Linked DNA regions of Arabidopsis thaliana. The protein of the gene in region 1 interacts with the protein of each later gene in a biochemical or structural test. Each region holds a gene or a part of one and is shown in the gene's direction. Other genes may lie near its edges.

Region 1 (10,421 bases):
GATTCGACGTCGCACGATTTATTATTTGTTCCTACTATTCACAATTCAGCATTCATAAATATATGTCTGAGATTTAATAGTATTCATGCCAAATAAATCTATTCATTTAATTGATTTTAGAACAATTATTAAAGTTTATTTCATTTGGAAAATGTTGGTAAAACCAAAACAAAAATAATGTTTTAGATCAAGTAGGAGTAAGAGGAGAAATTCTTCAAAGCACATACATGCGAATATAGATTCACACGAGCTGGAAATTAAATGACAAACATCTAGTGCAAAAGTTTTTCTTATAGGAAAAAAAAACCCAGAAATCTAATTTGAAAAAAGAACAACTGTAGAGAGCTGAAATTGGCCTGACCGTGGCATCGTGGTCTAATCAACAGAGAGTCAAAGAACCCAACCTTGGACGAAATTAGTCTCACCTGCCACGTTACTCTTTGATACCGAAGACCCTTCACCTTGCACGTAGTAATGTTGTTGAAACCTAATCCAAATACCAAACAAGTCTTATAATCATATCTTATTTCTATCCATTTATTTGTAAGGGCCGGGAAAAATGGTATATTCTTACCCTATTTGTAAAAAGGGTTCGGTGTTGCAATCCAATACATTAGGATGAGAAGGCTCTACCGGAAATTCAGAATTGTTTGGATCCCCGGCCACCGATGCCGCCGAGTTTGCCCATAAGTCTTGAAAGGTTTTGAAAGCATGGCCTTCCGTTTCAAACTATTGAAAATTTATGTTTAGTTAAGATCCAAATGTCATAATTAATTATATGAGAAGTTATAATATAATTTTGCGATGTCTAGAAATAAAAACCTTAATCTTGAGTTGTTTGTTTATGTCTCCTAGTTGCCTCTCCTGCCATTTCAAACATAGATTGATTGATATGCATATATGTTTTGCAGTTTGGTATGAAACATTTTTATATAACTTGCCTTTTTCCTAAGGTCTTCCATTTCTTCCATCATAACTTGTGTCTGCATATTTTAGTTGAATGTTTTAGTTATGAATATATTTTTAATGAAACAAGACCAGTCTAGATCATGTGACCTTGCGCTGTCGAGTCGCGGTAAGAGCGGCTTCGAGCTGCCTCTCGAGCGCTTGCAGTTCCTTCACACCCATTTCTCCAAGATCTTCTCCAAGCAAATTCCTTTTATAATTAGCAATTATCAACACCCATAACAATAGATTTGTAACTATACATATATAATGGAAGATGACAATAACGATTTAATTTCAAGGGGTTATAGAAAACTCTTAATTACTAGACCTGTTAGTACGAACAAGAGATTCGTATTTGGATTTAAGCTTTGTCACCTCCTGACACCAACTCTGCACCATATAGATTATATGAAATGCATATATATAGTAACATGAGAATTTGAGAAAATAGAGTTAGCTAGAATCATTATCATCAGAAACAATAATTGTAAATATATTCAAAGTACGTACACACACTTGCCTGTGTAGTCTCTTCAGGCTTATTATTGCTTAGAGAGCAGTTGTAACAACGATTATACCGTTCGATTGTGCTTTCAATTCTACAAATTCAATTAAAACAAAAATGGGAGATCATTAGCTCGATTCAACAAATAAAGATTCTTCTTACGACAAGAACTCAAGTTATATATCTTACACACTGATCTAAAAGGGAAAACCCTAGTTTGTTTGTTTTTTTTTTTTTTAAAGCTAGAATTAAACCCATTTGAAACCTGTCATCTGTAAGATTAAAGAATCAAAGGAATTCATGAATGGGAAATCAACAAATTATAACGTACGGAAGGACCTATTAGCTTATGATAAAGGATCCAAGAGGGAGACACGATATAACGATGAACCCTAATTACCACAGGATAAACGATACAACCATTAAGAATAACCACAAGATCAAAACATGATCCGACTCTTGAATCGTACGATGTAACAAGTAGCAAATGAACCCATTTATTAATCAATTTTCATATAAAAAACATAGCTTTATTGGATGAATCTTAATATATATAGCACAAAAGTTGGTTCAAAGGAGCAAAGATATATATACCCAACACTACCAAACTCGTAGAGCTTGCCACGGCTTGAGAAGATGATGAGAGCAACTTCGGCATCGCAAAGAACAGAAAGCTCATAAGCTTTCTTCAGCAAACCGTTTCTTCTTTTTGAGAAGGTCACTTGTCTATTAATCTTGTTCTCTATCCTCTTCATCTCCACTCTCCCTCTTCCCATCTTTCTCTCTCCTTCTCTTGATTCTGATTTCTTCTTCTTCTCAAGAATTGGTAACTTTTTTTCAAGAATAGATAAAAGGAATAAAGTATCGTACACGATAAATGTGTTGCTATATATATAAACTTGTATTACTTTCAATTCTTCTTGTTACAGGTTAATATGGTGCGTTATTACATAAATCCTTTTTAATTAATTATTAGTCGTCCTAAGTATGTGAAAGTGGCACCAACAAATGAGATATTTGTTGTTGAAGAAATTAAATATAAATATCGTCATATATTTGATGGAACAAAATGATAACTCTGTCTTCATCGTTATAGCTAGATTCCTAAAAATGGAAATCTACTTGTAACAGTCGGACCATTGAAAATTCCTTTTATTTTCTCTTTTTAATTATTAGGACTCTTTTCTTTTCTTTTTTGCTTTTTTTACATAGAGCGCGATGTTTCAAATTCAAACTAACTCATTTTGTTTCCAAATGTTATGGCTCATGTTCTTCTATAACTAGTTATTGTACCCTTTTCAAGCTATCCTAGCGTGTTCTTTTATTTGATGCTGCGCCAGCGGCAATAGCGGACTGAAACGACGTGTCATGAGAAGTAGTAGGTAAGTAAAACGACATTAAAGCTTGAAAATAACAATTTCGGATGAGTCGCCGATGATAGCCGATGAATTGCAATTGCATCAAATGAATCGCTGAAATTAAGCAGCGTCACGTCAATCTTCATCATCGTACATCTTTTGCGGCAGTTCTTCTCTAATCAATGTATTTTTTCTCGCCGCAGATCTGTTTTTCTTCTTTGTTGTCGCTGACGCTGCGTTCATTAAAAGAACACGCTAAATTAAATAGAAAATTTGGTTTTCTAATGCGGTGAAGGATTGATATATTATACTCGCAACCATGTATCTTGATTGAACCGTGATTCAATATGTTTGGTTAAAATGTCTACTTGATCTAAAATCGGACGAAGTAAACTACGTGCGAAATTAATGCTGATTGGTTTTACAAATTTGTGAACTTTTATTTGGTCAATGAAAAGGGGCAGAAAATTCATCATTGTTTTGAAGCTCTCGCAGAGCTGGTTAAATATAGTAAGATGTTGGGTTAGGTAAAATTGTCTTTAAAAATGTTTACCTCTGAAAATGATTGAAAAATGAGATATTTTCCTATATATATATATATATATGTATGTATTATTTACTTACAGTTTGATACATATATATGTATTCATTCATATATATATATGCAATCATTTACTTACAGTTTAATTGCTAATATCTGAATGATTATTTTTAATCAATTTTTTGATGTTTTTGTCCCTTGTTGTATCTGCATCATTTGATATGTTGACGATTCTTTCAACGTTATTCATCAAAACGGTAACTAATTAATTTTAGGTTTTAAACTTGGAAGTTAAATAGGGGACATTTCACTTTTTCTACAAATTTTTTCGACAGTTCAATGGAAAACGTCAAGTTAATTTTCGGCTAATGAGATATTGAAGCTCAATGGAGTTAATTAACAGATCATAAATGAAACACGTGTAAGGGAATCTGCTACTCTTTTGTATTGTAGGCCTTAACTTTTTTTATCGATCAGTCGGCGTGTCAGTGTCTTGTGGTCTTAAGGAAAAATATCCGAACCTCATCATCTCCACGAGTTAAATAGTATATATCCTTCTTCTTCGTACGAGGTTAAGACAACTAAAATCTTAAAAAATAAATTAAATACTTAAAATCAATGAATCGTTTCATATATATACATATATATATATATAATATTTATGTGCTTCGATTAATTAGTACATGTAACTATTTTACGAACGTTTAGTTATCGCCCATTTGCACATAAGTTTACAAACAAACATAGAATCATCACATTATATATTGTGCAAAATTCAAATACAAGATGATAAATCTTTACATCTTCAACTACAAACACGATATATGATATCAAGTTATCAACCAATCAAGAGCTGTAATCTAGTAGTTTTTTATTTTTTGTTAAAAAGTTGTAATCTAGTAGTTTCATTTTCATCTATCTTTTTACATTATAGAAAAATGAAAGTATAGAAAAATGAAAGCTTATCAAAAGTTAGTGGGCTACATCTACATTATATTAAAAAAATATATATATATATATATATATATATATATATATATATATATATCAATAACTAGATCGGACAGTGACCAAACCAATCTCGTTGTGTCCAATCCAAGAAAATAACAAAGGAAAGTCGTACGTTTGATGATATAAAAACCTTTTTATGTTTGGACGAGTTTCATAGAACATGGTGGACAAAATTATAGTACTATATACTATTTAGTATCTCCTTTTGAAAAACAGTAAGCCATGTAAATGAATTTGTACAATTAACAGCTATTTAAAAAGCAAAAAAAAAAACAGTGAATGTTTATTTACAAAGTTCCGAAGGGAAGAGGTTGTGGTAGTGGTTAGGGGCATGCCAAATACGGAAAGGGAGGCAAAGAAGATCGGGTAGTCTTCATAATTTCATACTTTTCACTTTGTAGTAATCTTTCCTTTTCTTTTTTAATTTCATCACCAATGTTTCTTTGTTCAAATTCATATCCACACACTCTTTTGGAAATGGCACTGCAGCTTCATGTGAGGTGTGGGGTCATTGCGCCTTATCGTCTGAAAATGTTACCCTCTTGACATTCAATGACCCCATTTTCTTATTTTCCATAATTTCTTTTACCATTTTACTATAACAAGAATGATGCAAAAGGAATAGGCAAAAAACAGCATATTATTTTTTAGTGGGATCCTAGTAGGTCACTTGAAGTCTCTATGCATTGATTATGGATTGCTATATTTGTCTCTCTTTTTATTTTTGAATTTCGAGTTAGTGATCTTCAATGTGTGTTTCAAATATAGATATTCAAAGGTTATAAACCAAGAAAAGAAAAAGTAGAAAAAAAATATATATATTTCAAATCTTTTAAACGGACCATTGGCAACAAAATCTATAAACGAGTTAGGCCCAAATTGTTGTACAAAAGGCCCATTAGGTTAAATAAGTATGGGCCTAAAGCGGTCCGATCAATCTCTGTGCCATTACCTTCTTCTTCGTCGTAGTGATTTCTCTCGAGAGAAAAAGAGAGATGGCTGAAGCAGCGAGAAGACAAGGTGGTGGGAGACCATTACCGCCACCTCCGAGAGGCGTTAACCAACAACCTCCTCGCCCTAAACCTGAACCTGTCGATCGTGAAAAGGTTTGTGTTCGATTTCATTATTCGCGAATCGTTGAATCATCATCCTTTAGGGTTTCCTTTTAGGGTTTTTATCTGTACTTATTGATTTCTTTATCTTTAACCTTCGAATCGCAGACATGTCCCCTTCTTCTTCGTGTTTTCACCAAGGTACTCTTCTTCACTGATTTTACTGAATGCAAGTTTAATCACTGGAGAACTGGCTATGTTTGTTTCTGAATTAGTCTGCAAATTAGGATTAATTGGGTAGGTTTGATTGCAGAGTGGTGGTCATCATACTAGTGAAGATTATGCTGTGAGAGGCAAAGAACCAAAGGATGAAGTTCAAATCTACACTTGGAAAGATGCCAGTCTTCGCGAGCTAACAGATTTGGTATGTCTTCTACCATTAAGATTTAGATTGGGTGCTTGAGACAACAATAAAGCAGCTTGCTTTGAGAACTTTTCTTGTGTAGTTTTGTTTTTACAAATATGACGGATTTTCAGCTAAAGGACTCACTTTGTTTTTACTGCTGAGGAGTGCTGATTAAAATTCACATTTTTGGGGGTTTTGTGTAACGTACAAAGGTGATGCTTCTCTCATAAGCACAATGTTAAATCACGTTTTCATTGCAGGTTAAAGAAGTTTCTGTAGCAGCTAGGAGAAGGAATGCTAGATTGTCTTTTGCGTTTGTTTATCCTAACAATAAAGGTGGCTATAATGTGAGAGAGGTAAGATTACGTTCTCTTCACAATCTTGATCAGATAAGTTGTCACCGTAGCCACGCATGATCATTGATGCATTCTAGAGTTTCTGTGTTTTCCCCTGCCACACCTCTTTGTCGCACATGTAGCTACCAGTATCATTCGGAGTTTTGTCAACAATGTTTCTCTTGTACATGTCTTTCGCTTATTGACAACTCATCTTCTCATGGTTATTGATTTTTGAAACTTCAGAGAGACCACATAATCATAGCTAGTTACTACAGAATGAAGTAATTTGATTGAATGGATGCTTTCAGATTCAATCGTTATGGCTTTACTTGTTCTCTTGTGATGTTTGCATATGTATTCAAGAACCCATGAGAAGAGTCTGATCTTGTGGTGTTGTTTCTGTTAATTGATAAAGGTTGGGGAGACGATGGCTTATCCAAACCGAAAACAACCAGATGACAGTAAAACGCTTTCCGAACTTCCGTTTGAGGTAAGTTTTTTACATGCATAGAAGATCATCTTGTATGATGATTATATAGTCTATAACATTAATTTTTCATATTCTGTTACCCAAGTAGCTATAACTGAAGTTGATCAATCTATCTGCAGATTGGAGATTATCTGGATGTGGCAATTTACTAGGAGGTTTCTGTTTCTTGTTAAGTGGGATTTGGGTGCGTGCACAATGGAAGAAGTACACATTCATATGGTTGTATCATCTTAAACTTCGTTTAGACATGTTTGTATTTTTTGGATCTAGTCTATGTACTAATGTCTAATGGTTTAGTATGTTATCCTGCTTTTTTTGTTTAACGTGTTTTCTTTTCTAAAGAACCAAAAAAAAGATGGAAGAACTCAAGCCATTTTATATACAAAAAGGTATAAATTTAGACTATCTATAGACTATAGCACATGAATATGTATTAAATTAAGATTTCAACCCAATTTACTTTTATTAGTAGAATTAATACTCGCACTTAACGTCGGAGAAGTAGCTGAGAAAAAGAAATCGTGAAAAAAATGAGAGAAGAGGATGAATTTAGACAACATTAATCATCAAAACTATAGTGATAAACATAGAAGAGTGGGCAATGCATTTCAAATATTCTCAAAAATAAAGATATAGTTATGGAATTATACAAAAGTTTAATAGCAAAATATGAACGTTGCGTTTACGATTCCCTATATTGTTCCAACGTTAAGTTTGATTAGACTTGAAAGTTGAAAGTATAATAAAATTTAAACGTTGAAACGGTAACATTTTATTACCGTTAGAAGATAATATTTTATTACAAAAATTCAGATAAATGGCTCTCTATAAATACTCCCATCTTGGGTCAGAAATCGGAATCCTCTTCATTGGTTCATATTTTACAAAATGTCGAGAAACAATCTGTTTTTATTTCTTAATTCTGGTTCTTCCACTTGAGTCAAGACCTCATTCAAACAAACATAAAGCATCATCCTTACAAGGTAAAATACTCTGGTCTAAATCCTCTAGTGTTTACCGTTAAATGGTTTTTTTTTTTTTCATTAAATGGTTCTTAGTAGTTTGTTCACCTGTTCTTCATCTTTTAGTCATCTTTTAGGGAGTTGAACATGAAATTCAATGTCTGTGTTGTAAATCCATTGTGTATGTATATGTATTGCTGGCTTAACTTCAATGATTAGGACAATAAACTGATTTTTAGCTATATTTGTTTCTTTCATAAACTGAGCATTTTAGTTAGATATATATATGTTCTGTCTAAAATGAATTTCATTTGCTGTGTTTTAAATCCATTTTTTGTGTATATGTATTGCTGGCTTAACTTCAACGACTAGGAAAATATTTTTAGCCATATTTGCTTCTATCATAAAACATTTTTAGTTATGTATCGGTTCTGTCTAAATGAAAACATAGAAAAAGGTTTTTATTTTATGAAAAAACAAAGATAGAATAGGTTGCCTATAAAATGCTTTTGATTTTTTTGTAAATAATATATGCATATACCAAAAATGATAAACGAAAAAAAAACGATTGTAATGGAATATTGATTTTCGTTAATTAATTTTGCAAGGGTTGATGAAGAAGGGAAAACAAAGCCTTTGGGACTCTATCCAGCGTGTTGCAATCAAGCTTTGCTAGCCTTTGTTGAATTTTACTAGATTGTGCATGTGGCAATCTAGTGATTTTGTATCTTTTTTCTTTCCTGATAAGATACATGGATGTGTATAAATGGGCGTATAGTGATGTGTAAGGTGCGTATAGATGAATGTATAGGCGTAGATGAATGTATAGATGCATGTATAGGCGTAGATGAATGTTTAGTGATGTGTAAGGTGTGCGCATAGATGAATGTATAGGCATAGATGTATGTATAGGCGTAGATGAATATGTAGGTGTAGATGGGCGTATTAGTAGAGTGTGTGAGCGTAGAACATTAGACAAACGAGGGACAAAAATGCGCAACGCGGGCCGTAGCCAAAGAAAAAACGCGAAGCTTAACAAAACACAAAAAAAAAACAGACGCCAAATCGCAAAGTCAAAGCGACATAGTCGAAACATGTAACAAATGGCAAAAACAAATAAAGCATAGTTGAAACTCTAACAAAGACAAGATTAATCCGTGTCGAAAGACAAAATTAATCTAAGTCGAAATTATCAAAAACACTTTAAAAATAAAAAACAACTGAAAAAGTTATTAAAGCGACTTCAAAATAACACTAAAATAATCGAAAGAGAAAATTAATAAGTCGAAATTATCAAAAACACTTTAAAAATAAAAAACAACTGAAAAAGTTATTAAAGCGACTTCAAAATAACACTAAAATAACATTAATATCCTTTAAAAACACCAACTTTCGAAATCTATTAGGTTACGGCTATAAGTCAGAATGTGCAATTGAATTACTTTCATGCAGACTTCGGCTACATTATCAAAAATCGAATAACTTTCGAGTCATGTTGAAAAATGTTTAGGATTTACGATGTGTCAATGAGAATTGGGAATTGGAAGTGTCAATGGGAATTCGAAAATTTAAACATGATCCAGAGTTCATGCAAAAATTTAAACCAGATCCAACAAAAAGTAGTAAACTGACTGATGATTTAGATTTAAATGTGACATTTTTCCCATACTCCTAACGATCGATAGCCAAAAACACAATTCCAACGTTCGCTAGTTGAAACGCCCAAAACTGAACGTCAAAATACAACTTGCTTACGTCATAATAACATTGAAGAAAAAATAAAACCAAAGGTGAAAAATAGAATGTCAGAATGTCACCTATCAAAATAACACGTTAAAATTTGCCTATGCACATAAGAAAAGCAATCGTTCGAAACACTGAAACTATGTAAATCAATCATACAACTGCCATGAAAGAGCGAAAAAAACAACCCAAATGTAGGACTCAAACTTTCCCAGCTTAACCTTGGCGATGAGACCCATCAAAGAACAGGAGTTAAAAGAGGTTTATTGGAGAAGAAAGCTTCAATATTCCCTACTACAACTTTCCCAAGTTCTTCAAGACCTTCCAATGTCATAAAAGCACTATGTGGAGAGAAAACAACATTATCCAATTCAAAAAGCTCCTTCGGAACATTAGGCTCATCTTCAAAAACATCCAAACCAGCACCACCAATCTCACCTTCTCTCAAACATCTCACCATTTCTTCCTCATCGATTATAGCCCCACGAGCCACGTTAACGATCACTCCTCGCTTTCCCAGAGCAGAAAGAACATCTTTATTAATCAAACGCAATGTCTTCTCATTCAATTCACAACAGATTATGAGTGCATCACTATTAGCTGCCATCTCCTCTATATCCATGTAATAGTGATATGGAACATCATATGGTTTTCTGTTTCTTGAGCTATATGAAATTTGGCAACCAAAGGCGTCGAGCCTTGTCGCTACTTTCGAGCCAATGCTTCCTAGTCCCACGATTCCGATTCGCTTTCTCCCCAACTGCAAATTAGAGGGAACCATTAACAATCATTTTTGTTGCTAATTTGATTTTTTCACAAGTTATGTTGCAAACCTTGGAACCGAGAGGATAATCGCCTTTGAGTGGCCAAAACCGTTGCTTAACGAACCGATTGGCGGCGGAGATGCGGCGGAAGACGTCGATGAGTAAACCGACGGCAGTATCTGCGACATCTTCCGAGAAGCTTGAGCCAGCGTTGGCGACGGAGATGCCTCGACGACGACACTCAACTAAGTCAACATGGTCAACGCCGGCGCTGGTAGTAACAACCAAGCGAAGATTAGGGAG
Region 2 (11,985 bases), on another chromosome or scaffold:
ACGATCAACCATCTCTTTGTCATCAAATGTGACCTTTGACTAGGGGCCTCCATATTTGTGGAATGACTAGGGGCTTTTTACCCACCCATACTTCCGACAAGCAGCTAGACTGCATTGCTGCATATTCTGTTCTGCAGTTAGGCTAAGCAGACACTTCTTTTGCTTGTCGGTTGCTGCAATAATCACAAGCCAATAATGACACTGACTTATCCAACAACATATACATCCCATTTTGATTGCAGTTGAATACCTGAAAACACAGGAACCACTCTATGGATATGCACTTGATCGGGCCATGGTGGTGGTTCTATCATAATTAGGTAATTTTCAAAAGGAAGTGTAGAATCCATGATAAACGAATGCATAGTGAATAATCGATGATATCTGGAAGAAAACACTCTATTGATATCACAATCACTCAAGGAAAAGCTCGTGCTAGAAATTGGTGCACAAGCTGAAAACAGCTTACAGAGAGAGCCTGATGAAGGAAAAAACTAGAGAGAGATATAAAAGCTAGAAGCTTGCAGTTACCTCCGAAAAGCCAAACTTCTCATGGAATTTCTTTGTGTTACAGTCCAGCATTTCTCTAAGGCTGCAGTCAATGTTGTTCTTTTTGACAAGTTTAAACCTCGATTCGACCTTCTTCTTCAATCCATGGTGAAAGAATTCAGGATAAGAAGCCACTTCATCCATGCCTCTTCCCATCACCTGGACGAGGAATCTGATCCTAGGCTGTAGTGAATTCTTAACACTCTTAATCAAGATTTGGGGATAACCAGTGACCATGGTTGCTATCTGGGAATCTCCAAACCCACACTCCTTCAAATAATCATAATTTGGTTTGAGAATCTTGTTAACGTCTCTGCACAAAAGTTGTGGGAAATTCATGACCACCGACTTAATGCCATCCTCACTCAGGCCAACGGATGATTTCAAGAATTCAGTGGTAGGCCGTAACCTTTTATCAACACTGTACCCCATAAGAAATGGGTTCTTCACCAGAACTTTGCCAATCATCCCATCTTGATCAAGGCCAAGGCTAGCAAGAAAGCTGACGATCACTGTCAGCTTGGTGTCGATGCTGTAGCTGATAAGCCTTGGGTTAAAAAGTATCATTTTGCCAAGTTGAGTCTCAGGCACACCTAACGCTTGAAAGAAAGCAAGAAGGGGACAGAGTTTCTCCTCCACGCTATGAGAGAGTATTGGAGGAAATTTGGTAATGGCGGAAGCAACTTCCCGAGGATTCCTTCCAAGACTGGAGAGGCACTCGACCATCGGGATGAGTCTCTCATCGAGGCGTAAAGTCAGGATTTTGGGGCATCGAGAGACGATGTAAGGGAGTTTTCTCTCTTGGATACCAACAATGTTACTCAGGTAGTCCCAGTTTTCTGATGCCACATCGCTTTGAGCCTTTTCCAACTGTTTGCATTTTCTCAACATCTTGTCGATACTCGGATCATCGAAACCTTTGTCCCTGAAGAACCACATGATGCTGCTCGTATTTGTCACCTCCATATAAACGCCACTACAACACACCAATTTTGCTTAACTTAGAGATGATTCGAGCTTTAACAAGGAAGTAGAGAGGAATTTACCTTGGAGGAGAGCCTTTCCGGCTATCCAATTGAACTGAAAGTGAGAAGCTTATCCACACGGAGGAGTGAGGACCTTCTTTCTTTCTTATACCCCCTGTAGAGTAAATGACTGTTATATCCCTCAATCCTTCTCGCGTGACTAAACCCTCCCCTTCTTCTCTCTCCGTCAAAATCTGCAAAACCCTAACTTTTCGAATCAGCGGCAGATAACGATGGTGCCTTCCTCCAAAGCCGTCGTTTTTGCAAGGCAGATGGCGAAGCAGATTCGTGTTACGACGCCGTCGATGTCCGCAACACGCTTTCTCTCAACGGGCGACAATGGTCAAGTAGACGAGCAGCAGAACCCTCCAGAGCCCTTACCCAACAGACCCTTGCGAGGGGAGAGATCTTCCAACTCTCACAGAGAACCACCCGCTAGACAAGCCCACAACCTTGGAAAGAGTGATACTACTCTGTCTGACGATGGCTTCCTCGAACAGTTCAAGCTTGGAGTCAATCAGGATTCACGGGAAACCCCCAAACCGGAACAATACCCGCAGGAGCCCTTACCGCCGCCTGAGGATTCCGATGAGATCTTCAAGAAGATGAAGGAAGGAGGTCTCATCCCTAACGCCGTCGCCATGCTTGACGGCCTCTGCAAAGATGGGCTTGTACAAGAGGCCATGAAGCTTTTCGGATTGATGCGTGACAAGGGTACAATCCCTGAGGTCGTTATCTACACTGCTGTCGTTGAGGCCTTTTGCAAGGCTCATAAAATTGAAGACGCTAAGAGGATTTTCAGGAAAATGCAGAACAATGGGATTGCCCCTAATGCCTTCAGCTACGGTGTGTTGGTTCAGGGATTGTATAATTGCAACATGCTTGACGATGCTGTTGCTTTCTGTAGTGAGATGCTTGAGTCTGGTCACTCTCCTAACGTCCCCACTTTCGTTGAATTGGTTGATGCCTTGTGCAGAGTAAAGGGGGTTGAACAAGCCCAGTCCGCTATTGATACCTTAAACCAAAAAGGATTTGCCGTTAATGTTAAGGCTGTCAAGGAGTTCATGGATAAAAGGGCTCCATTTCCGTCTTTGGCTTGGGAAGCCATCTTCAAGAAGAAACCAACCGAGAAACCCTTCTGATTTACTTACGCAGTGCTGTTAAGTATGCCGTCTCAGTAAGATGTTTTCTTGACTTGTAATAACAACCTTGAAAGTGAAAATCAATATGAGTCTTCCTTTTTCTGCTTGGAGTCAGGTATCGAGTTTTTTTTTTTTTCCTATGTCCTTTAAAAATGTGTAGTTGTAGATGTAGTTCCCTGTTTTCATGCATTCTAATATTGATTGCAAGTTCAATGAATAGCGTTGTGTTGGCGGTATAGGGTGTCAAATTATGCTTGACGCTTATCAGTCATTACCAATGATGTATGTGACTGTCTATTGCAAATGTGGCCGACTTCATGAACAAATATGAACAATAGTATCATTGGTTACATACACCAGGCATAAAACTACATCATCCTCCAAAGGCACTGCTGATCTCAGGGACGTGGAGGTCTGTTCTGTAGAAGCTGGCGCTATATTGAATACAAAATGCGTGGAGTCAACATTAAAATAGTTTTTATGATTCACTCGGAGATCTTTACTTGATTTGGTCGGCTGTATTATATTCGTGAACTCGGAAGTCAAGGCCTGTCTTGATGGAAGAATGACTCCTTACTTTTAATATATATATAAATAATACACTGGATATGAATGCCATCTTTTGTTTGTTTACTTTTGGCGTCATGTGATTCTTGTATTGTTTACTATTGTTAAATGCAAGTATCAGGTAGTGCTTAAGATGGAAGCATGTGCATCTCGTATGTTGACCATAACCTCTCCAAGAGTTTTCTTGGAGTTGGGAGAATCGCTGACTTGATTAAAGAAAAACAACAAAAGAATATAATAAGAGATGGGAGGTGGGGTCGGCGCCGTCCCTACTCGATGATATTAGTCTATAAAAGAGAGGGAAGGAATGAGGTAAAGAAGCAGAAAGCTGGAGAAAGATGATTTCAATGTTGTTTCCGCGGTCGCCTTTGTGCACAGCAGCCATAGTATTCTACACATGTGTGTGCATTCCCTTGGGGAGGTTGAAGAAGAATGGTGGAGATGCGGATGCGCATGATGATGACGGTTACAACCTAGTGGGAGTGATGTTTGGGGACAAGGAAAAGGAGGAGGAAATTTGCTGCCCCATATGCCTGGTGGAGTTTGAGGCTGAGGATGCGGTGACCCATCTTCCCAGATGCGCTCATCTCTTCCATATCAATTGCATAGAACCTTGGCTTCTCCGTGGCCACCTCACTTGCCCTCTCTGCAGATCATTTGTATTGGCTCCAACTCCTCCTACACAAAATGTCAATAATGCACACTCCTCTTCCACCTTGTATCTCTCTATCTTCTTCTTTTTCTGTATCTTTCTCCATCTACTTGGATACTTGTAGCCTAGCTTCCTTGTTAACACACCCATTCTTTATTTAACATGTATTTTGTCTTAGTTTCCAAGCACATATTGTCTCCATCTCCTTTTCAATCAAGATTTTGTGGATTACTCAGTTTTATGATATACTGTACTAAACAGAGACAAAAGCAGCACGAGTTTAGTTTTACCAGCCTTGCCTAGTGCCTACTGCTGCTCTAGTGCTCTGTTTCCTAATTGATTTGTTACTCTGCGTAAGACCATTAAGTAAACGGGCTAAAGGCAACTTAATAGGCCTTATTTTTAAAACACATTAAAAGTGGGCCTCATTTTAAACCATAACAGATTAAAAGTGGGCCTTTCCATTATAAACTGAAAGTAGAAAAAGTTGGAAGAGAAGAGTAAGTAGGCTACAGTTTCAGTCAGAGGTGAAAGAAAATCTGAAAGCAAAGCAGAGAGCAGCTCCCTTCCCCTCGGCGAGGAGGAAGGAAGAAGAAAGCCAGAGAGAGAGAGAGAGATCATCGCAGCTTCTCCTCCGACCATTTGACTGCGACTGTGATTACAACACACCGTTGATCCTACGAAAAAGGTCAGTCAGACTCTCTTCCTTGTCTGCGTGATTCCATTTTCCGGCGTCTGTCTAGCCTCGCCGTCTTTTAATATCTTTCACTCGCCTTCCTGTCTCTTCTGCACACTAGATTTGATTTTTTCGTAACTTAAAAAAATGTTGTTGTTGTCATTCAAACGCGTCCATGGCTCAGCTACTCCGCGGCTAGGGTTTAGTTATCATTTTTTAATAATATAATTTTTATGGATCGGCGTGCGTGCAGAGGTAATGGATACTGGCGGCAATTCGCTGGCGTCCGGACCTGATGGTGTGAAGAGGAAAGTTTGTTATTTCTATGACCCTGAGGTCGGCAATTACTACTATGGCCAAGGTCATCCCATGAAGCCCCATCGCATCCGCATGACCCATGCCCTCCTCGCTCACTACGGTCTCCTTCAGCATATGCAGGTTCTCAAGCCCTTCCCTGCCCGCGACCGTGATCTCTGCCGCTTCCACGCCGACGACTATGTCTCTTTTCTCCGCAGCATTACCCCTGAAACCCAGCAAGATCAGATTCGCCAACTTAAGCGCTTCAATGTTGGTGAAGACTGTCCCGTCTTTGACGGCCTTTATTCCTTTTGCCAGACCTATGCTGGAGGATCTGTTGGTGGCTCTGTCAAGCTTAACCACGGCCTCTGCGATATTGCCATCAACTGGGCTGGTGGTCTCCATCACGCTAAGAAGTGCGAGGCCTCTGGCTTCTGTTACGTCAATGATATCGTCTTAGCTATCCTAGAGCTCCTTAAGCAGCATGAGGTTTGTCCACCTGCACCGTTTTGATATATGCTAGGGATGGTTATGTCGTTTCTGAATCTCTAACTCTTCCTCTCTCGTTTGCAGCGTGTTCTTTATGTCGATATTGATATCCACCACGGGGATGGAGTGGAGGAGGCATTTTATGCTACTGACAGGGTTATGACTGTCTCGTTTCATAAATTTGGTGATTACTTTCCCGGTACAGGTCACATTCAGGATATAGGTTATGGTAGCGGAAAGTACTATTCTCTCAATGTACCACTGGATGATGGAATCGATGATGAGAGCTATCATCTGTTATTCAAGCCCATCATGGGGAAAGTTATGGAAATTTTCCGACCAGGGGCTGTGGTATTGCAATGTGGTGCTGATTCATTGTCTGGTGATAGGTTGGGGTGCTTTAATCTTTCAATCAAAGGTCATGCTGAGTGCGTCAAATTTATGAGATCGTTCAATGTTCCCCTACTGCTCTTGGGTGGTGGTGGTTACACTATCCGCAATGTTGCCCGTTGCTGGTGCTACGAGGTACTTTCTTCTGTTCATTTTATGCTGCTCTAGCTTTGCATTGAAATTTCCTTGGTCTCTGTACCAAGGTTAGCCCTCTGTGACGCCTCTCTTTCTTTGAATTTATTACAACAAACTGTTTATATGACAGACTGGAGTTGCACTTGGAGTTGAAGTTGAAGACAAGATGCCGGAGCATGAATATTATGAATACTTTGGTCCAGACTATACACTTCACGTTGCTCCAAGTAACATGGAAAATAAGAATTCTCGTCAGATGCTTGAAGAGATTCGCAATGACCTTCTCCACAATCTCTCTAAGCTTCAGCATGCTCCAAGTGTACCATTTCAGGAAAGACCACCTGATACAGAGACTCCCGAGGTATGCCACTTGAGCAAATCATTTGAAGTGTGTTGGCTCCTTTATTTCTGTTGCCCATTCTTTCTTGCATTTCCTCATGGGTTTTGGTGAGCTTATCTAAGTGTAACTGCAGTTACAATAAGAATTTTCTAATTTAAACAGCTGGGCTGGTAAATAATGTTCGTCCAGTTAGATATGTATAAGTATTCCTTGATTGATGACTCTGGTTGTTACCAATCTTAGTTTTGTAAAATATGCCTTCTATGTAAATTATAGGTTGATGAAGACCAAGAAGATGGGGATAAAAGATGGGATCCGGATTCAGACATGGATGTTGATGATGACCGGTATGAAATATATATGTTTCCTCCCCTTTTTATTTTTGGTTCGAGTCAGCGGTGTAATGTTTACTTAATGTGGGATCGCATTGTGCAGTAAACCTATACCAAGCAGAGTAAAAAGAGAAGCTGTTGAACCAGATACAAAGGACAAGGTACTACAGCATTATCTCTTAATTGTTTCGATTTCTCAGACACTTTTTCTGGTACAAACATTTGAAGTCATTAGTTCATCTAGGTTTACAGCATTTTCCAGAACAGCACAATGTGCTCTGATAACATTACACTTTTTCTCATCCCGAGACCCAAAACCTAAAGATTCCAGAATGAGTCTCATTCTGACATTAAGTCAGTTAGTTTAAGCTGGAGATACATTCACATGAGGGTAGCGAATCTTTAGCTACGGTTAAATCATTTAGCCTAGGCTATTTATTTAGTATGCTCCCAGCTCCAACAATTGACCTGATTAGATAGTGTGACCGTCTAGCCAAGCTGAGCTGAATCATCTCTGCCTCTCAATTCCTAAAGCCGTCTCCTTTTCTTCCGAGATTAATTTATTTATCATGGCATGTTGTTCGTGCAGGATGGACTGAAAGGAATTATGGAGCGTGGAAAAGGTTGTGAGGTGGAGGTGGATGAGAGTGGAAGCACTAAGGTAAAATGAAGCAGTGGACAGGGCTGAAAAGGGTGGGAATGGTGGTTTTCTAAAGTGGTTAGTTTTGATTGCAGGTTACAGGAGTAAACCCAGTGGGAGTGGAGGAAGCAAGTGTGAAAATGGAAGAGGAAGGAACAAACAAGGGTGGGGCGGAGCAGGCGTTTCCTCCTAAAACATAAGACTCGGAGCTTCTAATTTCTTGCTACTTTTTCTGTCTATCAAATGTTGCTAGTTAAGTTTCTGGAGTTGTTGTTGTTGTAAGCACTCCTCTGTTTTAGAGGATTGAGCACGGATATGTATTTATTCGTTGCATGTCTGAATGATGATATGATATGACAAGACGAGCTATTCCTTTTGCTATATATTTATTGATTGGGCCGAAGAGATCTGCGTCTGCCCACCCCAAAAAAATAAAGAATTGATGTGCTAAACGCAGCAATGAACATCATCAACTAGTGAAGTGGGTGGAGAAGATGTTTTCCTGTAACACAATTGATTTCTAACTCTAAATTAAAAAAATGTAAATCCCTTTAAGACTATTAAGCGTCTCTCTGTCTGTCTCTCGTCGTTCTCGTTTTTGATTGCTTAGTTTTTTCCCGGGAGACTGAAACATGTTCACGGCGGCAGCTTCGTCAAGCGTGGGAAGGTGGCGGACGGCGTTTCTCTCTCTCAGGGACGAAATCTCAACCACTCCACCGCCGCCGGTTCCTCTGTTGCTCGAGGATCTACTCTTCTCTCAATCCCATTCCCTTATCTCTGCCGTCTCTCACCTCCCACTGCACGAGCTCACTTCCGATTGCTTGTTCCTGCTCGATTTGGTTTCCAAAGCTGATGGTCCTGACTGGATCCCTGTCTCTCGTCATACTTGTCAACTGGTGCGTCTTCTCCTTCTCTCCTCCCATCATTTCCTTGTTATTAATGGGATCTCTCCTCCTTTTTATTAATCCAGATTCACGATGTTTGTGCTCGTCTACTTTTCCAACTAAATTCTTCGTCATGGCCGCTCCTTCTTCACTCTTTTGCTTCTGTCTTGGAGTTTCTTCTTCGCCAACCCATGCCTTCTTCACCTTATTCCGCTGCCTATTTCTCCAGAATCGAACCTGTGATCCAATGCTTCGAGACTTTAAGGTTATTATATATCTTCTCACAATCTTGCTGACATTGTTTAAACCTTATTCGTAATCTCCTCTTCCTTTTCCCAGACGTTTGGCCCCTATGCATCCGGAGAACATTCATCTAGTCAAGTTTCTTGTGCGCGTAGTTCCTTTATTACACCAGGATTTAGTTTTATCCTATGGTTTCTCAAATCAAGACCCTTCTCCTACTTTACTTGTGGAAAAGAAACTGCCTCAACAGAATCGCTTATGGGATTCCATGGCTCTTGCCTTTGACATGTTTGGTAGAGCATTTTCTCTATCTGAGTCTTTGTTTCCTACTGACGTCTCCCAATGCACGCTAGAGGTAATCTTCCCCTTCACTGATCGATCCTCTCATTTCTCTCATATGCTTTGTTTCTCAACTTGGTGAATTCTCATATAGGTTCTAAGGAAAGTAATGGACGTATTAGCATCTAAGGGCCAGCTTGTCGAAGACCGATTCATGTGGAGGTATATGCCTTTGGTTTTGTGGAGACTACAATTTACTCCTTTTTTTCTGGGTTCTATTAGACTTGTTGCCCTCTTAGGTAATATTCATTTCTTAATTTTCTACAGCTTTTATTCATGCCTTCTAGGCTGTGTGCACGAGGTCCTTACAAATATCAAATGTCCTGTTTCTGATCACGTAAGTGGGTTCTTGATACCCTTTGCTCCTCCTCTTAGCCTTGGATAAGTGATTTTCTGGTTTAACCTCCATATCAGACTTTTTTCCTTTGTTTAAGCAGATTTTTTAAATGTTGCAGGTCTTAAGTTTCATAGCGTCATTGAGAATGTTTTTCTGTTTTGGACTTACTGGCCCACCTCAGTTATCAGTTTCTGATGTTGTTCACAACGATAAGCATTTGAATGTCAAGCTTTCTCCATTGATTTCTGGAGTAAGTAAGAATGCCAAGAATACTCCTTATAGGCCACCCCACTTGCGCAAGAGGGATGATTTGAACACTAGGCAGCCAGTGTCTTCAAGCTGGCGGCGCCTATCTGCTCATGATTCTGGTAGTTCTGATGTTATATCATCAGATTCCGATTTTAGTGACAGTGACGGCTCCGTACCGGATTCTTATTTTGCCCAAAGCTCCAAGGTTAGAATAGCTGCAATTGTTTGCATACAGGTGAGTAACAATGTATTATTCTTAGTTGGTTCTCATCTTCTACTTAACTTTTCAGTGACAATTACTTATTCATTTTCTTTTTTTCCTGTTAAGGATCTTTGCCAGGCTGATTCAAAGTCATTTACCACTCAGTGGGTGACTCTCTTTCCAACAAGTGATGTACTCAAGCCAAGGTGGAAAATTAACCTACAACATCTTTTGTCACCATACCGTAGTATTTTCTTGTCTCCTTAACTTTCCGAGATCATTAACAGGAAGTTTGAAGCTACTCTAATGACCTGCTTGCTTTTTGATCCTCATTTGAAGGTGGTTATTCTTGTCCCTTTTCAAGTAATTGAGGCACATATTTCGATGCTGTTCTTCATTTTTCACCTTCCCAATAACTTTTATGGTTAAGCAAGTATGTCTAGAGATGTTTTTGTGGCTCAACTTCATGACTGCTGAATCCTGACAATACTTTTTTGTTTACCTTGCAATGTCTAGGTAAGGATTGCATCTGCGTCAGCTCTTGCCACCATGATGGATGGGCCTTCATCTATTTTCCTTCAAGTGGCAGAGTACAAGGAATCTACTAAATATGGATCATTTATGCCCCTCTCCAATTCCCTTGGTCTAATATTAATGCAACTCCACACAGGTTTTCAACGACATTAATTGTCTTAACCTTTTTCTTCTTGTCTGGCTATTAGTTATTCCTTGTTAACCAAGATTTTTATGCCTTTCGTATGGGTGTAGGCATTCTACATTTGATTCACAGTGATAATCATGGTAGATTGTTGATTCAGCTGTTCAAGATCCTCTTGCTTCTAATATCAAGCACACCGTACGTACATTTCTTCTGTGTTTTATTTTATTAGCTCCTCATGATTAAAATGATATTCGTTTTATTGTAAAAGTATTGTATCTTTTTAAAGGTATTTGATATCCGTTATTATAAACCCATAATGGCTCTTGATTAAGATTTACATTTGAGTAAGTGAATTAGGAAAGCTTCATGAATACATGCGTAGACCCAGCTCCGTTTAGCTAATGTTATCTTCTTATTAAAATTTGCAACTACTTTTGGATTTTGTATGAGATTTTCATGTGTTCTTTAACGTTTGTTATCATTTTCAGTTACTCGAGAATGCCGGGAGAATTGCTGCCAAAAGTTATAATGTCTCTGCATGCTAGGATTAATGAGGGCTTTCCTTTCAAAAATGATAAAACTGGTCTGCTGGTTAGTGCTTCCTTTTCCTTATGTTGTTTTGTCTGTTAGCTGTCTTCGTTTATGATGGATATATGATTTTACATTTCATATCTAGGTTTTCATTCTTGGACTATCCTAGTTTCCATTAGCTAAAGTCATAGGATTTAAACTAATTTTAGTCGCATATAGAAATTTGTCGACTGAGGGATGCAATAGGAGGAGAATTTTTTTGGGATTTCTCTGGACGGTACAGGCATTAGACAAGGGCCTAGAGTCGTGTTTGGGAGATTTTTTGTCTCTGTTTATGTTTTGCAGTCCTTATCCAATCTATAAAATATGTTCTAGACTTCTAGTGCCTTTCTTTTCGCTGAATTCCTAATCCAAACAATCTTAAGTTTTCATTCACGGAGGAAAAGAAGAGGTATGGTAAGAACCAAGTAAAGATCTTTCTTCATTGATTAAACCAAAGACAGTATTGAGACTATTTCTAATAGAGGATTCTCAGCTCTGGACCCAATACCTAACCCACACCAATACCATTCCCCAATGATTATCATTTTCGCCACTCTATCGAAGCCTTCCCACATTTGATGGTTGGTTATACTGAGCTGGGAACTCAGGCTTTTAACTTGCTGAATAAAATTTTCTCTGAACTCTAGCTTCTTTTATAAATATTGGTCCTGTGAATGCCATACCTATGTCATGATCTGTTTTATACAGGTTGCCGCAATAGGTTGCCTGTCAGCTGCATTTTCCACCTTTCCTCCTCAAATGAAAGTGCATAATATGCTTTTGGATGAGACATCAGCAGGTTGACCTTATCTTGCGCCTGTTCATTATGACTACTGTCCTAACCAGAATCTTATTATAATATTTGACATGCTTGTTTGAAGTCATTTCAGGATTCAATGGATGTGAATGGAATTCAGGAGTTCTTTCTACTTTATTTCGTTTTGCTGAGCAATTTTCTGACGCATCAACATGCATTGAGGCTCTTCAGGTATTAGGTTGTTCTTATTATAGTATTTCCCTTCTAAGGAGTTCTTATGAAAGTAGAAGGATAGACACAGAATAAATTCAGGTACATATGGTGCTGTCTGAACTCTGTAAGTACATTAAGAAAACTTTTTAACATTTTTTTTGCTGAGGGAGTAACTTATGTAAGACTGGGTCATGGTTCAGGAATATGCTGACTTTTTGTTTCCCTTTCATTTATCCCTATGTACAGATTTTGATAATGAGAGCTGCTACATTACCTGTCCTGTGTTTTGATCC
Region 3 (10,313 bases), on another chromosome or scaffold:
GTGATACCCTTTTCTTTTCTTTTCTTCACACTATTACTATAAATGTACTCCTCGCGGTCCAAACATAAATTAATTAGAAGATTAATAAATTTTAAAGGGTCATATTAATGAATAATAAGATGAACGTAACATGCATTGTATAACATCATCATCCATGCAAGAAAATCATGAACACTCCCTAAATCTTTCTCTCTCTTCAAACTTATATAAACCCTTCATTAATTAGACATCTCAATCAATGATCTAAATAACTAAACTCATCATCACAAAGTCATCTCAATGATGAGCATTAAGCTGACATTGTGTGCCTTAATCTTCTTCCTCTTAAATTCACTTCTTCATCATGTTCTCGGTCACGATAACCAACTTAACACAACCTCGTCATGGCTTAAGAGCCACATCAAAGCAGCTACAACAACAAATTGGGGTAGACCAAAGCCACCGATGTGTAAACCATGGATTTGCAAACGGTCCGGACCATCAGAGGCTCGAATGAGATGTTGTCGTAACCAATGCGTTGATGTCTTGTCCGATCCAAACCATTGTCGGTTCTGTTTCAAGAGTTGTAGGTTCGCATTGTCGTGCTGCGATGGAGATTGTGTGGACACGAACACTGATCCGTCTAATTGTGGACAATGCGGGAACGAGTGTGAATCCGGTGCGCCTTGTGAGTTTGGTATGTGTGGTTATGCTGCTCCATCGTCACAGCCTGGAAAACGTCATCGTCGTCACAAGTTTCATCGGCCACGTCCTCCTCCTTCTCCGGACAGTAAACTTAATTATGATGATCATGATGATGAATAATAAAGCGTGACGTGGTGAGATACTGATGAGGTCGAGTCTTCGAGTTTAACTATCATTGTTCTGTGTGTGTTAGAGTTCATTTTTTCGATGAATTTTATTTTGTAATGATAATAATTGGTTATATGAGTGGTTTGTGTTAATGCTTCGTGGTATTTTGTATGGTGTCATTTGTAATGTTAAATGGTCGGTTCATAGTTATGGTCAATATATGTGTGTTTAATCCTTCACTCGGTTTTACGAAAATTAAAATTAACGTAAAACCGATATTATTATGTATGATTTTCGAGCAACATTACATGATGTAGGCGGATTTATACATTTTACAGTTATGTTTTACGCATCTTATAGAAAATAATGCATGCTGTAATTAATCTTATGTTACTTTACTTGTTTTTTTTCACTATGATGGGTAGGAATAGGATTTATAAATGTCGTAGGTTCATCGAACTTTTTAACCTTCTTTTCATTTATCTTCCTTATCCATTGCAAACAGCAAACACAAACCGACAACATAAAGATGATATGTTAGCTTTTCTTTCATGTTTACGTATAAGATCTAAAACGAGTCGAAACCAATTAGTCATCTTCATGGCTGATCCTCCGTTAGAGACTTAGAGAATTTCGATTTTAAAAATTCGTTAGGTCCAATAATAAAATAACTAAGCAACATTTTCATCGTATGTACTTGTGTGATTGGTTTCTAGATTGGAGCAATTGTTTTGAAGGTCTCTTGTTCGAGCAAGATATATTTGGCCTACATTCTTTCTTTCTTTTTGGGTTTTACTTTTACATTATTTTGGTAGACAAAACTCGATCAATAGCCTAATCTCTAATACTAATTGTTTAGCATCGGTTTAACTCAACTGTTATACTTATTCTTTATTGACCATTCCCAAAGATGTATTTTCAAAGTTACATCAACAATGACAGAAACGAGCCATGCAATATCTATTCAACCAGGACAAAAAATTAACAAAAAATTAAACGGTCCTGGTTTAATTTTTATTTTTTTCCGACCCGAGTAAAGTAACGAATCTCGGCCATAAGTTTTTTTTTGTAATCAGGCCCATTTGTTTATAAAATATATCTCATTCAAGTTAGATTATATAGTAACCTATGTGCCAAAGGCCCAAAACCATTGAGATAAATGAACTGATTTTTTTTTTTTAAATAAACTTTTTTGACCACTTAAAACAAGAGTCCCTTTCGTGAACTACTAAGTTCGATGTGTGTATAAAGTATAAGCACATTATTATCTTTCAATGTTATTATCTTTTTGTTCAACATCTTTCAATGTTTAAATTTACTGGAAATTAGTTTGGTGGAACCCACACTCTAACATGTAAGCTATTCAATTTATTTATTTGTCATTTGTGTTTATAACTTTTTTTATAATAGACTATATATTTGAAAGTATTGGATGAAAAATACAAATGAATATACACATACCTTTACGATTCATACAAGAAGAAAAAAATTGGATTGTATCAACACATGTATATCTATGGTGCCATGTGGTCGTGGTCTCGTGGAAGATAAGTTTAGTTTAAAGATGTTTTTGGTTCTTATGCAAAAGTGAATGTTTTCCTATTAACAATTGATCAAAGTTTAGGTCATCGTTCTAGATCAATTAGTAATAACACATGTAACGGTTCTGTGACACGTTGTGCTGTATCCAACATTACTAGAATAGTTTATTTCTTTCTGAATGGTTAAGCAGTAACTGCATTATACATAAAAGTTTTGCATTAACAATATGTATTCTATGAATTGAATAGTCTCCTTGATATATGAGTTTTCTTGGAAGTAATATATTAAGAAAATTGTTATATAAATAAATAGAAAGATGGGAAATATAAAAAAAAGTTGAGGAGGAGATGTCATTAGGAAGACGAAAGAGAAATGAAAAAGCGTGGAAGGAGCAAACTGAATCAATAAAAACTCTATTGTGTCCCACTTTTCACCACTCGTTAACGCGTCTGTGATGTCTCGTCTCTTAAACATGACTTTTCTTTATTAACTTCAACCACATTTATTTCATGGAACCAAAAAAATAAGTATATGTTAACCTCTTTTGTAAATAGAAACAAACAATAATGTTTTAAATAGTAATTTGTAGAGTAACAAAATAATGATTTCACGACAATTTGTGTTCTTTCACTTTGATTAGTAAAATATGTTTGCTGACATGGGAAAAAAAAATACTACACGACTACTAAAAGTGTCGAATATTGATTTTTAAATTGTACAATAATACAGAATGATATAAATTTGCAAACTTCAATAATCTCTATATTTAATAATGGCTTTTACTATTTTACGCGATATACTTATTTATAGAATTCCTCAATTCTACAATATTACTAATTAATTTCTCAACTTAATTGCATAAAATGTAACAATTTGGTTTTGTTATTTTGCTATCAAACTCTGAATTAGTATTGTAATTTCGTAAAATACATTGAAAGGTTTTAAGAAATTTAGACTATTATCATATTATGAAAGTTTATTATTGTTAGATTTAGTACTACTAAAATACTCTCAGTAAATAATAAGATTTGTGAGTCTTTTGGTGTGGCGTATAAAGAAAGAAAAAAGAATAATAAAAAAATTAGGGGGAGGTGGAATGAAGAAGAAGAGTGCAGCAGAGAAGCAAGTGCCAATCTCTTTCCCTTGTCTCCTCCTCTTACCACACCTATCGAGACACCATTCTTTCTTTTTTTTTCTCTATATATCACCTTTTCTTTTTTCGAAAAATAATAATTATTTATTCTCTTTGTTTGTTTTCTTTTGTTATCGAGATGATGCGTTTCGAATTTGAATTGCTAATTTGTTCTAACTACCTTCAAATTATTCCTAAATTTAAAAATAACTAATTTGAATTATAAAGTGTTACGAAGGTGCGCAAAGAAGATAATAGGACTTTAATCATCTTTACAACAGTTTAGTCTCTCGATCACATAAATAGATAATCATTTTATCTTAGGATATATCAGTATAATATGTTAGGGTTTTTAAATTAAAGCTTCTAACGAGAAAAGCTCGTAGTATACTCGTAAAGTCCTTAGATTGTCAGTTCTCATTTCAGGAGTTGATAGGGCCAAAAAACAAAAAGAGACGTTGAATAGTTGATAAGGATGGAACATATGAAATGGTTTTAAAAGAAATCTATTGCAAACCAACTACATAGCATTTTACAAACAGAATGAATCTGGTTCACATTGGATGATTGTAATCATGTTCTAAAATAAGATGCCCAATCCGTTAATCAGTTGAACTTAATCCAATGTTTAAAAATTCAACTTTACTTAATAAATTTTTCAAAATCTCATTTTGAAACTTACATTTCTCGAATGGCGATAACTCAAGCAAAAACACTGAAATAATAAAATCGAAGAATACGCATGATATTATGAGTTCATATTTATAAAAGTAGTGATTTGATTCCCTACATCTTGCCATATCAATTTTTGGAATCCACTAAAACCATAGATTATTTAGTGCAAGAATCTCTTTATCAACAATTATAGAGGAAAATAGCTTCCTTGCTCAACCAAATTTTAACAAAAATGAGATACTTATAGAGCATCGAATAAACTGCAAACTGTCTGGCTCAATATGTTTTTCTTAATTTGTTTATAAAAACGAAATAATAGCTTCTAACCAATGAAACATCTAACAAGCTCAACAACTTTTAAATTTTCAAGTAGATAACACTCCGAAAATGTCAATATAGTACGTACGAGTAATATGGACCCTTAAAATCTACACCACACGATATGTTATCATGTCACAAATGAAATGCAACATAACGTATATGAGTTTGGTTCTGTTAGTAAACAAATTCTTTGACATTGCTACAAAAGTTTGAGTATCAAAAAATTATATCGATAGAATCCTTTTAGCCAAATTATCCACGTAATCATTTTAGACGAGCAATCTTTATTATTGCCTTAGTCGGGGACATAAACTATTACTCGATGATGGACAAAACAACTATTTTTAAAAGTCTTGATTTTCAGTTTATATGTTTCCGCTGGCCGAGATTTTGGTAATTCTTTTTAGCAACTTAATTTGAGATTTAAAGCATGGTTAGTTGTGACTGTTGAACCAAGTTTTATTTAAGTTAAGTGGGCTTGATAAAATTGAATTGTGTAAATGAGAACTTTGGTCTTAATGGATTGGTTCAATTCGTGGTAGAGCTACGAGAAATTGTAAAGTCAAATATTGAGCGTGAGAAAATAAGTCGCTCTGTTTTACATCTCAGAAGACTCGCTCTTATTCACTTCCTCAACACCATAAAAATAAGAGTTGTTGAGAGATCAAGTCATTCACCACTCCTAGATTTATGGTTGACATGAAATGATTTGTTGAAAAAATAAATTCAAACCAGTAGTAATCTCAAACCTCTATTTGAATACACGTTTCAAGTATGTCTTCTTCATCGATTAAGAACTTAATCGTTTACAGACAATCAAATAGTTTTAACAATATCTCTTTATTAGAAATAAGTAATTCAAAAGTATTGTATCGTTAGAGCTGTGTTTTCGAATACTGACAAAATCAGTTTAGAGAAGTTGTAACCTAAGATCAATGAATCACATAACATTATCACATAAGATGATTCAAAGGGTTAAAAAAAAAGAGTTTTATCAACTCGACTCCTTTCATGCTTTCCTTAACAATTATGATCTTAATTTCAATAATTTTTGTAGTGTTGAGAAATTTATGTTCAAAATAGGGAATCAAGTGTCGAGTAAGAATGTGTCAATCAGAAAATGTCAAACAAATAAATCATAGAAGCATGACAATCGAATACAACATTATAGTAAAATTTTGCTTTCTACGGTATTTTGTGTTGATCTGCAACAAAACAAAATTTTTTTTTTTTCAAAATAACCGATTTTCTAAAATAGTTTAAATGAGTTTATTTTATTCTTACCCTTATTATTATTATTCTTTTGCTAATCTTGGAATTGCATGACTAATATTTTGGCTAGGAGAACAGAAAAAAGGTTATTGACCACCAATTTAGCTTGACAATAATGGTTTGTTTTGTAATCTCTAAAATCGGTTGATCAAAACAAATAAACAGAAGAAGAAAAAACGAAAAGAAAAGAAAGAGCAAAATGATAAGAAACCGAGTTGGTCGGTCTTGTGGGGCGGGCGTGAAGAGCATTCGAGAGCGCACAAAAAAAAAAACTATTACAACCAAAATATTACAAATTTAAATTCTTAAAAAATTTCAAAATATCACAACAAAAAAAACAATTTATTTATTAAAAACATTTTGAAATTACAAAAAAAAAAGAAAAAAAAAGAAAAGAAGAAGAGGAAGAGCTTTTTGTGTTGAAGAGAGAGTTTCCTATCTTCTCCATTCCTCCCACCATCTCCCTCATCTTCATCTTCCTCTCTCTTTCTCTCTTTCTCAACAATCTCTATTAGATCTTTCTCCATTACCATTACCTCTGGCTTTCTCTTAAATCCACCATCATGAGGAGAGGAAGAGGCTCTTCCGCCGTCGCCGGACCTACCGTCGTTGCCGCCATCAACGGATCTGTAAAAGAAATCAGATTCAGAGGCGTAAGGAAGAGACCTTGGGGACGATTCGCAGCTGAGATCCGTGATCCATGGAAAAAAGCTCGTGTTTGGTTAGGTACTTTCGATTCCGCCGAAGAAGCTGCTCGCGCTTACGACTCCGCCGCTCGTAACCTCCGTGGTCCTAAAGCCAAAACTAATTTCCCCATCGATTCTTCTTCTCCTCCTCCTCCTAATCTCCGATTTAATCAGATTCGTAATCAAAATCAAAACCAAGTCGATCCGTTTATGGACCACCGGTTATTCACCGACCATCAACAACAGTTCCCGATTGTTAACCGGCCTACTAGTAGCAGCATGAGCAGCACCGTTGAATCGTTTAGCGGACCCAGACCTACGACGATGAAACCGGCCACGACGAAGAGATATCCTAGAACTCCACCGGTTGTTCCGGAGGATTGTCACAGCGATTGCGATTCGTCGTCGTCTGTAATCGACGACGACGACGATATCGCATCGTCTTCACGGCGACGGAATCCGCCGTTTCAATTCGATCTTAATTTTCCACCGTTGGATTGTGTTGACTTGTTCAATGGCGCTGATGATCTTCACTGTACCGATCTACGTCTCTAATGAATTGGTAAAATCAAAATCAAAATCACAGATCCGTGATCGGTTTGATTTTAATCGAAAACACACAACAAAATCCTTTTTTTTTTTTTTTTTAAATTTTCTGTTTCGTTGATCTCATATAATTTTTACTATGCGGGAGAAATAGAAAGACAAAGAAACGAAGAAGAAGAAGAAGATGGTGATGAGCTTGAGAGAGCTTGAGCTGGTTCTGTGTTTCTTCTGTGATGATATTGTAAGAGTATTATTATTTTACTATTATTACTAAATCTTCAAAACCAAGAAGAAGAAGACCGAACACGATGATCTGTTGTGTCTGTTTGTTTTACTGTAAGAAAAACGCAGATCTGGGTTTCGTTTTTTTCTTGAGATAGATCAAACAACCCCCATCTTTGTAACATATACATTTGGAACACTCATGATTCTAAATAAAAAATCTAGAATCTTTTTTTCATCTTCTAGAGCTCTGATGAGTTTTGTTCAAAGATCAGTTCTTGTTCACGTGAATTAAGCTAGAAGAAAGACAAATGAAGCTAGTTTTGTAAACTGTTCATGGATTGAATCTTAACAAGTTCTGTAGCAGTGAGTGATTTGGTTAATTAGAGATTAAGATTTTTGGTTGTTTATTTTACATCTTAAAATTTCAAAATTAATGCCCAGATCGGAAAAAATTGCAAGATGGTCATCTTAGATTGGTAAAGCTTGTTAAAGTTCTTGGGTTCTGATATTTTCTGAATTAAATTTTTGTAATTAGGTTATAAGGGGTATGCTATATCTTATGTTTTCCAGGATTATTTACCAAACTCTTAGAATTTCAGAAAACAAATTTTAAGTTTAGGAAAAGCTGTTAGAACTTAGAAGTTTTCGAAACGTCTCTTAAACCTAAAAATTGTGGTGTTGTTGGATGTCTTTTTTGTGATATTTTTCTAATTTCTTTATTTTACGTACTAAAAGGGTATTTAATCTAGCTTTTGTTTTTTTTAAATAAGTTTTTTTTATAGGTAATTGAGACAATTGTTTTGGTTGAGTTTGGTGGGCAATTGATAATAAATCTTTGAGAGGTGTATGGTGGCAGGCAGATTCTTTTCGTGTTTGACCCATTAGATTAGATTTTGTGTTCGGCGTTACCCTAAAATTCTAGTATCTTACTTTACTTTTTCTGCCACAAACACTATTAAACGACCTTTGGGTCCTAACCAAACCCACATATTTGTTTTTACTGTTGTCCAAAACTAATTTCTTTGAATCTTTTGTTAGATATAAAACAAACTTTATTAGTGTATAAATATATAATGATAGAACATTTACGAAAAAATAATGTGATGTAATTGCAGCGATTATACTAGAGATAAATCATAGAAGATTTTTTGTTCAAAAAAAAGTATGTAGAACATTTAAGAAACAATATATTAGTAATTAATTGCAGGGATATTGCAAACCTTTATTATTATTAAATATTTGGGAAATTTGAGATTTGATTATTTCATTCCACAATTACGTGGATTAAAAATCATAACTTTATTTTAGTATAAGAGACTAGAATTTATTCTATAATATAATATACCGTAGATATATAAAATTTCACACAACTCTAACTAAATCAACCAATTCGACATAAATAATAAATTTGGTAACTGTAACAAAGAGGCATGAGGGTCGTGTGATGAGATGGGCAATGGGAGAAGAGTTTGTTTTCATATCGGTCCATTTGTCATCTTTGTTGGTGTCTTAGGATTCAAGACTCATATGCCTTATATGTGGAACTTATACAAACACGGTGTCCCCGCCTCGACATTGAATAGCAAGAATTTTATGCTTCACAAAGAATCAACTAATATAGTGGAAGCGACACACACAGAAGCCAAAAAAGACGACAAATGCAATTAAGATCACCATTGAAGACATTAACAACAAGCTTGATCAATTTTGCAGCTGAGAAAAATGAAAAAAAATTGCAACCGACAAGAATGAGAAGACTTCATAGAAGACTAGTTTCAAATCCTAATATATGTTTTAGACAAGTTGTTTTGATTTGATTGACTTATTTTTTATTTGTTAATTTTATTAGAATTTTGGACCTAAATATTATTGGAGCATCAATTTGATTTTTAGATTAAAAAATTAATAATAAATAATAAAAATGTATTCATAATATTTACAAAGTTTAAAATATATCGATAATAATAATAACAGTTTTTAGAAGTTAGGTTTTAACTTTCACCCAAGGAAACATTTATAAAAATATAAGTAACATTATAAAACACTAATGAAAACTACATTTACGAATTTGGGAATAAAGCGAGTGATGGGTCAGGTACAAAAAATAGAATTAATACTGATATTTGACACTTACTTGCAGATAAGAAAATTATAATACTTTTTATCTTCATTCGATACTAAGGTTTCAAATATTTTTTTGAGACGTGTACGAGTCGGATAACAGATCAAATTTGGATAACAAATATGCCTAATCTTAACTTATAATTATATGTAATAATTTATCTAAAGATATTGTTTTATAAACTGTAATTCAAAAGTGTTAATATTGATTAGAAAACCCTTTCACAAAACCAAAAAAAGTGTTAATATTGATTATCACTTCGAATTTGAGAAAGATTGAATATTTAGTAAGGAACGAGATACAGTTTGTTGGCTAATAATGGGCTTGGAGCCGTGGGCTATTCACAAGCTCGGGCCTGGCTTTTTAGATGTCCAGATTAATTAATATACAAAATAATCCCAAGACAAACACTACTATGGTCGTACTCGGTGAATTCGTCATGTATTATGTTAGACGAAAGAAATATGATCATAGAAATGATTTCGATTAGCATCATAATGGAAGTCCAAAATCGTATATGATGAAAAGAGAAAGATGATCGTTGTAATAAAGCATGCAAAAGGATAATTTAACATAAAGATCATGGAAGGAGTTAAATTTTGTCAACAATTGGAACATTTTCATTTATGTTCTTTCACTAAAACCAAACGTAGGTCATCCTCACTCATCACGTTAAAAACTGTGGTAGACAAATCAATTCATAAACATGTGAGATAAGTAATTGAGCACCGTTTTGTTATATGGTTCCATATGGTGTCTATAAAACATAGCCACTAAGTAATCAACCAGATACAAACAAACGAATTTATTTCAAATAATTCACAATTATTAACAATTTCAATTAAAAATTTGTAAATGATAACATGGTATTCGATTCGATCATAAGCATTATTTGAGTTAAACAATCATATGCTCTTAAATGTTAAACTTTTTTCAAGTAAACTTAAGATATCCCCCGCCGGTGATTCAAATAAGAAAATCACCGTACATTCAAAAAGAG

What was found.
Region 2: the proteins of SAP18 (region 1) and HD1 form a complex in vitro, tested with the Arabidopsis thaliana proteins (one study listed by BioGRID).
Region 3: the proteins of SAP18 (region 1) and ERF3 form a complex in vitro, tested with the Arabidopsis thaliana proteins (one study listed by BioGRID).

The regions. Positions count from the first base shown.
Region 1 is NC_003071.7:18,796,261-18,806,681, reverse strand, and holds SAP18 (SIN3 associated polypeptide P18), read left to right. Parts: upstream 1-5,298; 5' UTR 5,299-5,358; coding exon 5,359-5,469; intron 5,470-5,583; coding exon 5,584-5,616; intron 5,617-5,728; coding exon 5,729-5,839; intron 5,840-6,081; coding exon 6,082-6,177; intron 6,178-6,574; coding exon 6,575-6,649; intron 6,650-6,768; coding exon 6,769-6,801; 3' UTR 6,802-7,154; downstream 7,155-10,421. Other genes in the region: AGL6 (AGAMOUS-like 6), read right to left, coding at 391-487, 575-729, 823-864, 942-983, 1,057-1,156, 1,277-1,338, 1,469-1,547, 2,048-2,229; AT2G45630 (D-isomer specific 2-hydroxyacid dehydrogenase family protein), read right to left, coding at 9,593-10,114, 10,188-10,421. UniProt on the Arabidopsis thaliana protein: Links the histone deacetylase complex to transcriptional repressors bound to chromatin. Involved in the tethering of the SIN3 complex to core histone proteins.
Region 2 is NC_003075.7:17,891,942-17,903,926, reverse strand, and holds HD1 (histone deacetylase 1), read left to right. Parts: upstream 1-4,417; 5' UTR 4,418-4,623; intron 4,624-4,864; 5' UTR 4,865-4,869; coding exon 4,870-5,397; intron 5,398-5,481; coding exon 5,482-5,922; intron 5,923-6,052; coding exon 6,053-6,283; intron 6,284-6,538; coding exon 6,539-6,609; intron 6,610-6,697; coding exon 6,698-6,755; intron 6,756-7,183; coding exon 7,184-7,255; coding exon of another isoform or gene 7,256-7,264; exon of another isoform or gene 7,265-7,329; coding exon 7,330-7,434; 3' UTR 7,435-7,649; downstream 7,650-11,985. Other genes in the region: pde191 (Mitochondrial transcription termination factor family protein), read right to left, coding at 23-131, 207-250, 532-1,515; AT4G38150 (Pentatricopeptide repeat (PPR) superfamily protein), read left to right, coding at 1,808-2,716; AT4G38140 (RING/U-box superfamily protein), read left to right, coding at 3,622-4,059; AT4G38120 (ARM repeat superfamily protein), read left to right, coding at 7,867-8,130, 8,205-8,383, 8,458-8,716, 8,795-8,862, 8,968-9,037, 9,156-9,521, 9,615-9,694, 9,776-9,827 and 5 more. UniProt on the Arabidopsis thaliana protein: Responsible for the deacetylation of lysine residues on the N-terminal part of the core histones (H2A, H2B, H3 and H4).
Region 3 is NC_003070.9:18,754,264-18,764,576, reverse strand, and holds ERF3 (ethylene responsive element binding factor 3), read left to right. Parts: upstream 1-5,868; 5' UTR 5,869-6,297; coding exon 6,298-6,975; 3' UTR 6,976-7,605; downstream 7,606-10,313. Other genes in the region: AT1G50650 (Stigma-specific Stig1 family protein), read left to right, coding at 280-804.